Stegostoma tigrinum: one gene and its partner. The protein of the gene in region 1 interacts with the protein of each later gene in a biochemical or structural test. Links are inferred from orthologs where the notes say so. Each region holds a gene or a part of one and is shown in the gene's direction. Other genes may lie near its edges.

What was found.
Region 2: the proteins of ptprb (region 1) and cntn1b form a complex in vitro, tested with the Homo sapiens proteins (2 studies listed by BioGRID). The link is inferred for Stegostoma tigrinum from reciprocal best matches to the Homo sapiens genes PTPRB and CNTN1.

The regions. Positions count from the first base shown.
Region 1 is NC_081371.1:44,953,362-44,960,522, forward strand, and holds the start of ptprb (receptor-type tyrosine-protein phosphatase beta), read left to right. Parts: upstream 1-4,158; 5' UTR 4,159-4,212; coding exon 4,213-4,264; intron 4,265-5,257; coding exon 5,258-5,671; intron 5,672-7,161. UniProt on the Homo sapiens protein: Plays an important role in blood vessel remodeling and angiogenesis. Not necessary for the initial formation of blood vessels, but is essential for their maintenance and remodeling. Can induce dephosphorylation of TEK/TIE2, CDH5/VE-cadherin and KDR/VEGFR-2.
Region 2 is NC_081371.1:8,302,404-8,309,679, forward strand, and holds the start of cntn1b (contactin 1b), read left to right. Parts: upstream 1-4,276; 5' UTR 4,277-4,339; exon of another isoform or gene 4,340-4,407; intron 4,408-7,276. UniProt on the Homo sapiens protein: Contactins mediate cell surface interactions during nervous system development.

The DNA.
Region 1 (7,161 bases):
ACTTTATCTACAACTTAAACTACAAGATGTGTCCACTGTCCTCTCAGTGCAAATCATTGTCTTCTTATGTCACTGACTACTTCCAGGGCTGCTTTTCGGTGGTTAGATGCTTTAGGAATTAATCCAGCTTTTTTTGAAATGTTGGTAAGTTTTTACTTGATTTCTCAGTTGGTGGACATACAACCTGATTTCAGTTAAAGCAGTTTTTGACATTAATTTTAAGTTGAAACTCAAACTTGAGAGAAATGAGCTATTTTAGTTCATCGGATTTCTCTGTCTTTATTGTGATGATGACAGACAACACTGCGTAATTCATATGCTCATTATTTGTCTTCACTGTCATGACAAACCAATGCTTTTATGATGCCAATACAAATGGTTATGATTATAGAGCATCCAACTAAAAGTTCAGGTAACAAGCACATCATTTATTGATCTGTAAATTCAATAATCATTGGGAGTTAATTGGGAGTTAATTTAATTTATTTTTAGCAACTCAAAACCTGAACTGATATGTGCTCATAATTCCCTTCATTTGTATATTACAAGAGTTATGGGGGAAATGATTAATTGTACAAAGGATTGTCCTTTATCAGTTCAGGAATTTTTAATTCAGTGTTATTGCAATTCCCTATTAATTAAGGTTGCAGAGTAATTAGAGAAAATGGCAAAGTCCAAACTTTACAGCTGTAATGACAGTGAAATGGTCAGTGTTCACCATTTTTACTCTTGTGAAACTTACAGTGATTTCTGAAATCCACATAGGCACAGTTACATGAGGAAATCCAAATATATTGTCATCAGTGATTCTGCAATTCTTCACAGGGCAAGCTGTTGAAGTCCCCACAGACAGAACTCAAGGAGAAATAATTGACCAATCAAAAAAAGTCCTTAAATACTAATAATCTTGGTGTAAACCTCACGAAAAGGTTAAATTTTCATGTATGCTGTAAAACCTTTTTTCAAAGATGTAATAGGTTAACCCCACTCCTAAACACAACTTTTCTCCCCATTGAAAGCTAATTTTCTAATGGTGAAATGTCAACATCATGATTTTTAAGAGTTTGTGAAATTTCAGCTTCTGGCTTGATCCCACAAACCCAGCCAATTATTTAATTCTGTATACAATGTATGTAAAGTGAATTATAATCAGTGTTTTTTGTTTCCTAGTTAGCTGTCTAAAAGAATACTTCAATCTGATGAGTTGCTCACTTTGTTTAATAATAACATTTTTGCTGAGAGCTGGTGATACTGGTGTTTGAATCAGGAAAGGGGAAATTCATGCCACAGAGATTATTAGATCCTTGTGGCTAATTATTTTCAAGGTCAGTGGTGAGTGTCATTGATATGTACTGCCACAAAATTTAAATTCAAATGCCAGAACTGTAATTTTCTCCCCATTACCATTCCCTTCATATCCTGCTCTTTACTCTTCTCATCTCCTTCATTTCTTATAAAGATGCCAAAACTGATGGGTGGCATGATGGCTTTCACAGTGCCAGGGACCCAGGTTCAATTCTCAACCTTGGGTGACTGTCTGTATGGAGTTTGCATGTTCTCCCTGCATCTCTATGGGTTTCCTCCTATAGTCCAAAGATGGGTGGATTGGCTACGGTAAATTGTCTGTAGTACCCAGGCATATTCAATTTTGGTGGATTAACCATGATAAATGATTTGGGTTATAGGGATAGGACAGGACTCTGGGTCTGGATGGGATGCTCCTCAGAGGATCAGTGTGGAATTGATGGATCAAATGGCCTCTTTTTGCACTGCAGGGATTCTATGAAATGTTGATAATCTTTGAATGTAATTTCAGAAAATTATGTGTATTCATTTTTATTTTGACAGAAATCCAATTTATTTTAACATGTTTGCTTTGATTACAGAGGAGGAATGATTCAGACAAGTGAACAGTATGGATTTGTACACCATGCGCTAAGCCTTTATGAGAGCACAATCTCAGCAGACACTAGACAGTAAATCTATCATCATTCATGAAAACCTTTGATTCTAAGTTACATGGACACGAGGTAAATTATCTCTTGAAGTAATGAAACATATTACTTAGAGAGACAAGAACAAGAATCGTTTCCAGTAGACAGGTGATACATGGTAAACGCAGAAGCTAGTCACAACACAACAGGAAAAAAAGTGTTTGCTGGATTGATTAAAGATAGCTGAATGAATGTCGTGTATATTTTCCTAAATTCTGTTATAGGAAAATGCAGCTAACTGACTTTATGTGAAATATTATCTCTGTCTAATTAAAGCCTTTTTTATGTTAAGTTCAGCTAAACAATACTTGCAAACCCAATGGTCTAAGAAAAGCAGTGCCTGTTGAACTTGCTTTGAGAGATAAAGAGTTTGGATAGAAGTACAACACTGAACCCTTTATCAATTGTTTCTGTGTTTTGAACTCTTGCACACAACTCTTGATGTGAGTTATTAATATATACATGTGAAAATGCTATTTCATAAGTGGTGAATTTTATTTCTTTACCACATTATTGTCTTGCTGCTGAAATGCACAAGTGTTTTATTCATGAATTTTAAATAACTGTTTAATTCTGGAATATTTTAAAACTGTAAATGTTTTGTATGCAATGTAGATGCAGGTTTTTATTTGTGATATGGTGTTAAATTGTATGCATATTTGTAATCCTAATTAGCAATCAAGATGCATAATGTTAAACAATCAGTATATGTATTCTTATGTCTTTGACAATGTATTTGTATGGGGGTTGTCTAAATGTACGCGCTTCTTAGATATTAAGCAAATCCCTGTGGTTAACACTTACAGGATCTTTCTCGCTCTTTCTCTCTCTCTGTCTCATGTTGTGAAGTAGTATCAATATTTTGTTCCTTCTGGCAGACAAGAAGTGCAATGTGGAACTGTATGGAATGTATAATGAGAATGGAAGCCTAAAAATATGAAACATTGACTTAGCTTTATTCTATATGCAGCTACGTGGTATGTGTTCCATTTGAGGAGACATATTTCAAATTCCTTTTTTGTCATGTGCAGGAAATTGTTTACATTAATGAGTTGTTTACAGAAAGCAGTGCAGAATCTGCACAGGATAATTTGTGTTTTTGTTCATCCCTGTTAAATTTTGTGTATGATGACAATAAATGCAATGATTTTTTGAAATCTTGTTCTTGAATATATATTTTAATAAGAAACCAAATATCTGGAGCAAGAGTGAGTTACAATGATGTGTTCTTACTCCCATTATTAATTTCAATTAATGCATACATCTAACTAAACTATGTCAGTGCTAAGCAACAGGAATTAGGGTGGTTGAGGCGGGAATCCCCAAGACCTTTCAGAAATATTTAGATTAACATCACAGTCCCAAGACCACAAACCAGGTGCTGGATGATGGGATTAGAGTAGATGAATGTTTGATGACTAGCATTGACATATGGGCCAAATGGTCTTTTTCCATGCTGTAAAAACTCTGACTGAACTAGAGTCAATCCCCCAACCCAATTTATTGCAAACTCTTTAAATATACCATAGAATGTAATTCGTTTTCTGTCAATGAGTGTTCTAGTATGAAAATGCTATTTAATAAAATACTGTTGACTCTTACGAGCGCAGTTCTATTTCCATTTTAAGAAAGTGGTTCATTGGGTCCTACTTTTAATAATACCTGTCACTACACAAATCGTCACAAAAATTGCCATTTGATTTAAATGCCTGTCTTTGAAGAGCTGAGGATCTAACTTGTAACTAATGTCAACAGGTCTTCCACAACAACTTGTTTACAAAACATTCCAACTGTGCAATTTGAAAGTACTGACTTCAACATGCGAAAGGAGCGTGGGTTTATCCAGCAATTGTACAGATGGAGTAGTTTGTTGATTTCTGTGCTAACAGACATATATGATGAGAGAGAACAGATTGCACAAAAATATCACAATTGCGACATGGCCGAAATTGGGATAGAAGTAATCAATTTTGACAGTCTCATCACAATTAACCAAATCCGAGATGGCCTCGCCATGTGTGACCATGAGGGTTAGGATGATTTCCGAGAAATCACACAATATGACACTCTGACATGAAAGATTCAAAAGAGATTGAATAGGAGGAAGTGGTCGTCACCAACTTTTTTTTTCCCCTGAAGACACATTTCCTTTCGACGCTTAGCTTCAGCGATCTGTGCTGAGGGTAGCATGTAACCTAGTTACAAGAATATCGTAAAAATGGATAGTCCTCTCTTCGTGGTTTTTACGTTTACGCTACTGGCTTTATCTGGTAAGTGGATTAAACTCAGCAGTGCTCAATAGCTGTATAGGAATCTGTGTTCCTTATTCCACGTTAATCCTTGCCAGCAGTCCAAATCCAACCGCAGTTTCTTTTAAAAAAGGAACGAACGGAAATGAGTTTTTTTTTATATTGTACACAACTGTACGCTGTAGCAGACCCGGCATGTCTAACACATTGTGAGATAGTTTGCAGTTTGTTGGCCCCAGTTTGCAACAAAGTTGTTCGATTTGGTGGAATAAATTGAAACATAATACCGATGTCTTCCGGTTCCGATCTGGATTGGTTCTGACCGGTAGCCTCGGGGCACTGCGGCCACTTGTCTAATCATTGAGTACAGTTAGAGGCTACAGCCGCTTCAGTGGTTTGGGGGCGGGGGAGGGGGTGAAGAGAGTGGAACAGAGACAATCACCTAGCCGAAAGAATAGCCCCCTCTCCCTCCCCCCATCCCCCAAACAATCACGGGATACACATCTGGTTGGTTTGGTGCTCATCCCGATGTCTTTGAGCTTAATGTGAAGTTGAATGATGTGCAATTGTTTCCAACCATTCCAAGTTAAATATAGGGGTGGGGGCATGTGTTTTCTGTCAATTCGGGATCGAAGCTTAACGGAATGGTCTCGATAGAGGCCAGAGTGATGGAACTGCTGTCGAGACGTATTCCTTGTATTGGTCTGTCTGTGCAGCTGGTGCAGTGAAGACACTGAATTGTTTTTGAAGTAGTGCCCAGATACAGACTAACAAATTAATGTCCAAATACTGTTTGCAAAGAATTAGCGTTCAAATGCAGATTGTAACAATGTTCAAATACAGATTGTAACAACGTAGTGTCTAGCTCCAGATTGCAACAGTCATGTCCAAATACAAATTGAATTGCAGCTGTTTATGGGAGGGAAGATATCTTCCTTGATGACTGATTTCTGACACTGTAACCATGTGTTTTAACTGGTTTATGTAAATGCATGTTGGTCCTTCTCCCCACAGATGGATTCCTGATCCTCCACGCTGCCAAGGAACGGTGCCTGCTGGGCAAAAACCTGACGGTGTTGGTTGGCGCATGCAAACTGACCAGCCCGTCGCAACAGTGGCAGTGGACGGAGCAGAGGAAGCTGCGCCTCCAGCAGGTAGACCCGAAGGTAGACCGGTGCCTGGCTACGGTCAACACGACTCGGCGGCAGTTCCGCAACCTGGCGCTGCGAGAGTGTGCCCAGGCGCCTCGCTGGCAGTGCGAGGAGGAGCTGCCGGGCAGCCTCGGGGTCGCCCATCCGAGAATGTTCCTCAAGAAGTGGGGCTACTTGCCGGTGGTGACGGCCGAGACGAAGTACCATGACAGATGGCTCAAGTACGAGCTCGGGGAGAGTGGGGAGCCCGTTAAACTCAGCTTGTGCTCAACACAAGGTGAGATGTTCCATAGAACTGGCCAGTAACCGTGTGAAGTTGCCACATTCCTCAAATCTGCCGGGTTATCTAATCAGGAAATGGAGCCACTGGCCCATTTTATGCAGCAACAATCTGACGTCTCAATACAATGCAACATCTCTAAAGTGTGAGCCTATCAACTAAACAAAACAAGTTAAATCTCCCCGGAAATAATTACTCACAAGGTTAGAATTTACCAATAAATAGAACCGAAGTCGCAGATAAACTAATTTGGAGAGGGGGAGCAATCATATTGTTTGCTGGGACCTGAATATCCCATTGACCTTAATATATGGAGTTCCTTATAGCTTTCTGAGGAATCCCCTTGGAAAAGCCACTAGGATGTTTTAAAAATTCTATCTCAAGGCTAAAAGCACTTCTTATAAGAAACATAGGAAGATTAGGCCGAGATTCCAATCTCAATAGTGTTATCTCATCCTTCAGCTGCCCCACAACAGCGTGTAGTAGTGGTTAGAGACCACAAGGGTACACAGATTGAAGAGCTCACAGTCAAAAGAGCTAACGAGGTGTAGAGCTGAATGAACACAGCAAGCCAAGCAGCATCAGAGGAGCAGGAAGGCTGACGTTTCGGAAGGGTCCAGGTCCGAAACGTCAGCTTTCCTGCTCCTCTGATGCTGCTTGACCTGCTGTGTTCATTCAGCTCTACACCTTGTTATCTCAGATTCTCCAGCATCTGCAGTTCCTACTATCACAGCCAAAATGCTGATCCCGCTTTCCAGAAAGCGCAGAAAGTGCACTTTGAAACTCCCGGAGAGCTGGGACATTAAAGGATGGGAGGTGGTTTCCTTTTCGGAATGATCTGGAAACCAGAACTCTCTTGCAGAGGAAGGATATGACTCTGAGACAGGCCTTGACTCGTTTGATAGTGTACTTCAACTTTAGAAACGAGCGGAATGTTGATTTGTCTGCGAACAGTCTTTTTCCATGCAGAACAAACAAATGTCATATCACATATATAGTCCATTATCCCTACTGCTGGGTGTGAAACGCAATTTACCCAGGGCCGTAACTGAAAGAACGAATACTACCCACGTTTCTTTTGATGTTTAAAGATGTTTTTGCACACCTCAAAAGCAGGTGGGTCCTGAATTTGGGTTTACGCAGGCCAGAGGTTCCGTTACTGTCACTGCGCCATAAGACCTCAGTTCTTCAAGTTTATTCGCTGTCATTTTGTGACGAGGGTAGGGGGCACGCAGTCAATACCCTTCCCCTATTCGCATTGATGAGCCCCGAATTCCTTTCATTGATGTAACACCTGACCGGGAAACAGGGAAGTCTGTCTGCGCTTCCTCAGCGGGTGAACTGCTAGGGAAAGTGAAATAGATTGCATTTCAAAAGGTGGCGCGTTTCTGCAGAGATATTTCTGATTTTGAAAAAAGAAAAAGTGAGGAGGGAGGAACAGAATCCCTAGGACCTGGATAGAACTGGGTCACCTGCCTGGGCCCAGT
Region 2 (7,276 bases), about 37 Mb from region 1:
GGCCCATGATGGACATGTCATCAAGAGAATGGGAGGGGGAGTGGAAATGGTTTGCGACTGGGAGGTGCAGTTGTTTGTTGCGAACTGAGCGGAGGTGTTCTGCAAAGCAGTCCCCAAGCCTCCGCTTGGTTTCCCCAATGTAGAGAAAGCCGCACCGGGTACAGTGGATGCAGTATACCACATTGGCAGATGTGCAGGTGAACCTCTGCTTAATGTGGAATGTCATCTTGGGGCCTGGGATGGGGGTGAGGGAGGAGGTGTGGGGACAAGTGTAGCATTTCCTGCGGTTGCAGGGGAAGGTGCCGGGTGTGGTGGGGTTGGAGGGCAGTGTGGAGCGAACAAGGGAGTCACGGAGAGAGTGGTCTCTCCGGAAAGCAGACAGGGGTGGGGATGGAAAAATGTCTTGGGTGGTGGGGTCGGATTGTAAATGGCGGAAGTGTTGGAGGATAATGCGTTGTATCCGGAGGTTGGTAGGGTGGTGTGTGAGAACGAGGGGGATCCTCTTGGGGCGGTTGTGGCGGGGGCGGGGTGTGAGGGATGTGTCGCGGGAAATGCGGGAGACGCGGTCAAGGGCGTTCTCAATCACCGTGGGGGGGAAGTTGCGGTCCTTAAAGAACTTGGACATCTGGGATGTGCGGGAGTGGAATGTCTTATCGTGGGAGCAGATGCGGCGGAGGCGGAGGAATTGGGAATAGGGGATGGAATTTTTGCAGGAGGGTGGGTGGGAGGAGGTGTATTCTAGGTAGCTGTGGGAGTCGGTGGGCTTGAAATGGACATCAGTTACAAGCTGGTTGCCTGAGATGGAGACTGAGAGGTCCAGGAAGGTGAGGGATGTGCTGGAGATGGCCCAGGTGAACTGAAGGTTGGGGTGGAAGGTGTTGGTGAAGTGGATGAACTGTTCGAGCTCCTCTGGGGAGCAAGAGGCGGCGCCGATACAGTCATCAATGTACCAGAGGAAGAGGTGGGGTTTGGGGCCTGTGTAGGTGCGGAAGATGGACTGTTCCACGTAACCTACAAAGAGGCAGGCATAGCTGGGGCCCATGCGGGTGCCCATGGCCACCCCCTTAGTCTGTAGGAAGTGGGAGGAGTCAAAAGAGAAGTTGTTGAGTGTGAGGACGAGTTCCGCTAGGCGGATGAGAGTGTCGGTGGAGGGGGCCTGGTCGGGCCTGCGGGACAGGAAGAAGCGGAGGGCCTTGAGGCCATCTCCATGCGGAATGCAGGTGTACAGGGACTGGACGTCCATGGTGAATATGAGGTGTTGGGGGCCAGGGAATTGGAAGTCCTGGAGGAGGTGGAGGGCGTGGGTGGTGTCACGGACATAGGTGGGGAGTTCCTGGACCAAAGGGGAGAAAATGGAGTCCAGATAGGTGGAGATGAGTTCGGTGGGGCAGGAGCAGGCTGAGACGATGGGTCGACCAGGGCAGGCAGGTTTGTGGATTTTGGGAAGGAGAGAGAAACGGGCCGTGTGGGGTTGGGGAACAATGAGGTTGGAGGCTGTGGGTGGGAGGTCCCCTGAGGTGATGAGGTCATGAATGGTGTTGGAGATGATGGTTTGGTGCTCGGGTGTGGGGTCATGAGATGGCCTCAAGGCCCTCCGCTTCTTCCTGTCCCGCAGGCCCGACCAGGCCCCCTCCACCGACACTCTCATCCGCCTAGCGGAACTCGTCCTCACACTCAACAACTTCTCTTTTGACTCCTCCCACTTCCTACAGACTAAGGGGGTGGCCATGGGCACCCGCATGGGCCCCAGCTATGCCTGCCTCTTTGTAGGTTACGTGGAACAGTCCATCTTCCGCACCTACACAGGCCCCAAACCCCACCTCTTCCTCCGGTACATTGATGACTGTATCGGCGCCGCCTCTTGCTCCCCAGAGGAGCTCGAACAGTTCATCCACTTCACCAACACCTTCCACCCCAACCTTCAGTTCACCTGGGCCATCTCCAGCACATCCCTCACCTTCCTGGACCTCTCAGTCTCCATCTCAGGCAACCAGCTTGTAACTGATGTCCATTTCAAGCCCACCGACTCCCACAGCTACCTAGAATACACCTCCTCCCACCCACCCTCCTGCAAAAATTCCATCCCCTATTCCCAATTCCTCCGCCTCCGCCGCATCTGCTCCCACGATAAGACATTCCACTCCCGCACATCCCAGATGTCCAAGTTCTTTAAGGACCGCAACTTCCCCCCCCACGGTGATTGAGAACGCCCTTGACCACGTCTCCCGCATTTCCCGCGACACATCCCTCACACCCCGCCCCCGCCACAACCGCCCCAAGAGGATCCCCCTCGTTCTCACACACCACCCTACCAACCTCCGGATACAACGCATTATCCTCCGACACTTCCGCCATTTACAATCCGACCCCACCACCCAAGACATTTTTCCATCCCCACCCCTGTCTGCTTTCCGGAGAGACCACTCTCTCCGTGACTCCCTTGTTCGCTCCACACTGCCCTCCAACCCCACCACACCCGGCACCTTCCCCTGCAACCGCAGGAAATGCTACACTTGTCCCCACACCTCCTCCCTCCCCCCATCCCAGGCCCCAAGATGACATTCCACATTAAGCAGAGGTTCACCTGCACATCTGCCAATGTGGTATACTGCATCCACTGTACCCGGTGCGGCTTTCTCTACATTGGGGAAACCAAGCGGAGGCTTGGGGACCGCTTTGCTGAACACCTCCGCTCAGTTCGCAACAAACAACTGCACCTCCCAGTCGCAAACCATTTCCACTCCCCCTCCCATTCTCTTGATGACATGTCCATCATGGGCCTCCTGCAGTGCCACAATGATGCCACCCGAAGGTTGCAGGAACAGCAACTCATATTCCGCCTGGGAACCCTGCAGCCATATGGTATCAATGTGGACTTCACCAGTTTCAAAATCTCCCCTTCCCCCACTGCATCCCTAAACCAGCCCAGTTCATCCCCTCCCCCCACTGCACCACACAACCAGCCCAGCTCTTCCCCCCCACCCAATGCATCCCAAAACCAGTCCAACCTGTCTCTGCCTCCCTAACCGGTTCTTCCTCTCACCCATCCCTTCCTCCCACCCCAAGCCGCACCCCCAGCTACCTACTAACCTCATCCCACCTCCTTGACCTGTCCGTCTTCCCTGGACTGACCTATCCCCTCCCTACCTCCCCACCTACACCCTCTCCTATCTTCTTTACTCTCCATCTTCGGTCCGCCTCCCCCTCTCTCCCTATTTATTCCAGTTCCCTCCCCCCATCCCCCTCTCTGATGAAGGGTCTAGGCCGGAAACGTCAGCTTTTGTGCTCCTGAGATGCTGCTTGGCCTGCTGTGTTCATCCAGCCTCACATTTTATTATCTTGGCTGTAAGAACTCTCTGGGATTTGTCGGTTAAAACTCAGGCCTGTGCTATTTCCAGATGAGTGGAAGGGTAGGGGGTTTGCTGCCCATTTCTGGTGTTGCTCAGAGCAACATGTCGTCGCTGCATGGTTGCCCGCGTTGGGATAGAGATGACTGCATGCTTTAATACGAGCTTTTGTTCGCCACGTCCTGTGCTTTTTTAAAAATCCACATCTCCCAATGTGTTGAGTCAGCGATGCCACTTCGATCTGACTGCCCCCTTCCAGCGGCTCAACAGTTCCCACTCCCACGTGTTGGTACCTGTGCAGAGTAACAGAGCTAAGGCAGGTTTGTTAGGATCTCCAGTCCTCCTGTGACAGCCGCTCCTAAACTGGGCAGGCTTCCCTTGCTAAGGTCAATCACTTTTTTGTTAATGTTTCTCCTGAGATGGATTGCTTTGGAGTGCTGCCCCTCCCACTCTGTGCATCAAGGGGAGGAGGATGGACTCCTCCTAGGGGTCTGCCTGCAAGTTCTCTGCAATGTCATTGACGCAATCCGGGCGCAGGCGAAAAGGGTGCGATGCAATTTTAATATTCAGGGTATTACGGCGTTGCCTACACCTTTGCAGCCCCCGCTTCTCCAGGCTGCGTGTCAGTTTCCTCGCTGCAATTGGTAGCCAAGATGCTGCTGCAAGGGTGTTGGAGATCTGTGTCTGTGCGTGTGTACATTTCTGTAAACTCTACCTGCCTATCTCTGCAGTGCCCATCCTGTTACACTCCTAGCTTCCAATGCAGCGACCGTCCCGTTTGACGCAGCGACTGCAGCAGCCTGGGCGGGAGCCGCTCCGCCCACCCACCCCAATCCTCCGGTCCGATAGGCTACCTCGCCTTTGATTGGCGTCGAGACTAGCCAATTGGAACGGCGGATTCCACAGCAACCGGCTGTCAATCAGGATGGCCGGGGCGATCTGTCAAACGCTACTCAGGTCCCAGTGACTGAGAGAGAGCCGACTGGCTTCAGGTGAGTATCAGCTCTATCTGCTCGCATCTATAAAGCAAGCCCAGGACGCTGTAGAAAACCCTCGCCTGGTGAGTGCAGCAGCAAAAATGCAAACCGTTTATGATTATTTTCAGGGATTGAGCCGAGTCTACAGAAAGTAGTGTGTTATCCGCACACCAGCAGTGTCCCGTTCAACTCCCACGCTTTTAAATGTCAGCCTAATCTCCAAATGCAGCTCTTTCTGCTGCTTGTTGTTTGGAGTAGTTTTCACGTGTAGGTCTGAGAGGTGGGTCAAAGCAGCCCTGTCTTCAGGGGGTCATTCCTCTCATCCACTTTTTTCCAAACCCCCGGGCCTGGGAAACTCTCACAGGTAACACCCTCGCATGGGTTTAATTTTTTTCAGTCGTGTTTTGGTCTTACTGCGACAGTAGATGGTCATTGTGCCCTCGCAGTTTTATAAGCTGGAAGACGAAGCAAATATTTATTACGAGAGGGTGGGAAACATAATCTGCAGCTTTTTTCTAAAAGAAAGAGGTGTGCAAAATGTGCCTTAAAGTCTTGTCTTGCAAACATTCAGTACAATTCAGTGCTTTACGTTGTGTGTCTGTTTGTATGTGCTCCTCACTCGGGAGTGTGTCACTCTTCGTAACATGCTGAGTTCATGATCAGTCCTGACGAGCAGAAAGGGAGAGTGAAGTGTACGCATTTGGGTGTTGCCAGTATGTAGACTGTTCATGTTGTGTATTCGCAAAAATTATCCTTGCTATCCGCTACCATTTACCTATTTAGGAACAGCTAAGTAATAATTTTACTTTTAATTTTGCAGCAGAGCATTTATAAGATAGGTTTTTTTACTGGAGTCTGCATTTGTGATTGGTTTCTGAGAATTTGGGCATGGGAGGAAAGATATTTTAATCTGCATCCTCTAGCTGGCATTATGTCATCCTTTAACGAGTATTTTCGTACAAAGGGATGTCAGAAGCAATACCATTGCAGAGAGTTCACATTGCTGTGTTGAAGGGATGCTAGAGATGATGACTACTGGTATCACTGATTACCTGGGAGTAAATTTGAGCCCTCTCCCTCTTTTCTGACCCCAAACACCTCCTTTTCTTTCACCCTGCCACTCTCTGGGGAATACTTGTACTGCTCCTCCTCTATTATTCATTATTGGGAATGTGTCTAAACTTTGCCAGTGAGATTCCTAATGAGTGGTTTCAAATAAGCATCATCTGGCCATTTGGGCGTGTGGTGATGGCAAGGTGATTAGCACATCTCCTTGCAACTGATCTGTTGCTGACATGGAAACACAGGATATACTGCATTCCTAGTCATTACCAGGAATCTCCCTAATAGAGTAGTGTTTTTTTTTTCAGTTTAACACTGGTGCCCTTCTGTTGTCCTCTAATTTGCCATGAGCTGAATTTAGAAGAACATAATGCATTGGGGAGATTTTCCTGAATTTCCACATTGAATTGCCATGGGTGCAGTGAATACAGACAAATTGGTGGCTCTAAAACATCACTAATACAATCCACTGTGTGACAGTCCTGTAGAGATAGGTTCCAGAAGGTAATGTAAGAATGTTGGTTGCTTGAATGAGACTAATTGAGTACATGTGTTTATGAAATGTTCTATCCTGGGAAAGCCAAGGCAGATCCAAGTGGAAAAAAAAGTTTTTGAATTAACATCAGACTCCACACCCCCAATCCACCCCACTTTTAAACACTAACAAATGGTTATATGACTGGGTACTTGTTAGAAATTTTACCAGGATTTAGTGAAACGTACGTGGGTTTTGAGAGAAGTGGAAACAAATGCTGGGTTGATGTTCAGTGTGCCCATTGGACTGTGGACCAGCCTTGCCCATTGTGAAATTTTGGTGGGGTTCTTTAGCCTTGCTTGCAGTCAAGCTTCTAAAAAAAGTAGTCCAAAGATGAAATCCATGCGGAAGGCAGTGTGAAACCACTTCATGTACTCTTCTGTAGTAGGTCACTCAGAAATTTTGCAAGTGAGAATTATTGCTCTGTGGGGCGGAATAAACTGTTGGGTGAAATTCCATTTCTTTGTACTTGTAATCAACCTTAAAACCTAGATGTAGGAAACCTGATTAAACTACCATTCCACATATATTTGATATTTAATTACTGGTGCTTGGAGCTAGGTAAACACATTGTATTACAACCAGAATCCCAGAAGGGGAACGAAATGTGAGGCTGGACGAACACAGCAGGCCCAGTAGCATGTCAGGAGCAGAAAAACTGACGTTTCGGGCCTAGATCCTTCATCAGAGAGGGGGATGGGGTGAGGGTTCTGGAATAAATAGCGAGAGAGGGGGAGGCGGACCGAAGATGGAGAGAAAAGAAGATAGGTGGAGAGGAGAGTATAGGTGGGGAGGTGGGGAGGAGATAGGTCAGTCTAGGGAAGACGGACAGACGCACCTTCCCCTGTAACCGCAGGAAATGCTACACTTGCCCCCACACCTCCTCCCTCACCCCTATCCCAGGCCCCAAGATGACTTTCCACATTAAGCAGAGGTTCACCTGCACATCTACCAATGTGGTATACTGCATCCACTGTACCCGGTGTGGCTCCCTCTACATTGGGGAAACCAAGTGGAGGCTTGGGGACTGCTTTGCAGAACACCTCCGCTCAGTTCGCAATAAACAACTGCACCTCCCAGTCGCAAACCATTTCCACTCCCCCTCCCATTCTTTAGATGACATGTCCATCATGGGCCTCCTGCAGTGCCACAATGATGCCACCCGAAGGTTGCAGGAACAGCAACTCATATTCCGCTTGGGAACCCTGCAGCCCAATAGTATCAATGTGGACTTCACCAGCTTCAAAATCTCCCCTTCCCCCACCGCAGCCCAAAACCAGCCCAGTTCGTCCCCTCCCCCCACTGCACCACACAACCAGCCCAGCTCTTCCCCTCCACCCACTGCATCCCAAAAC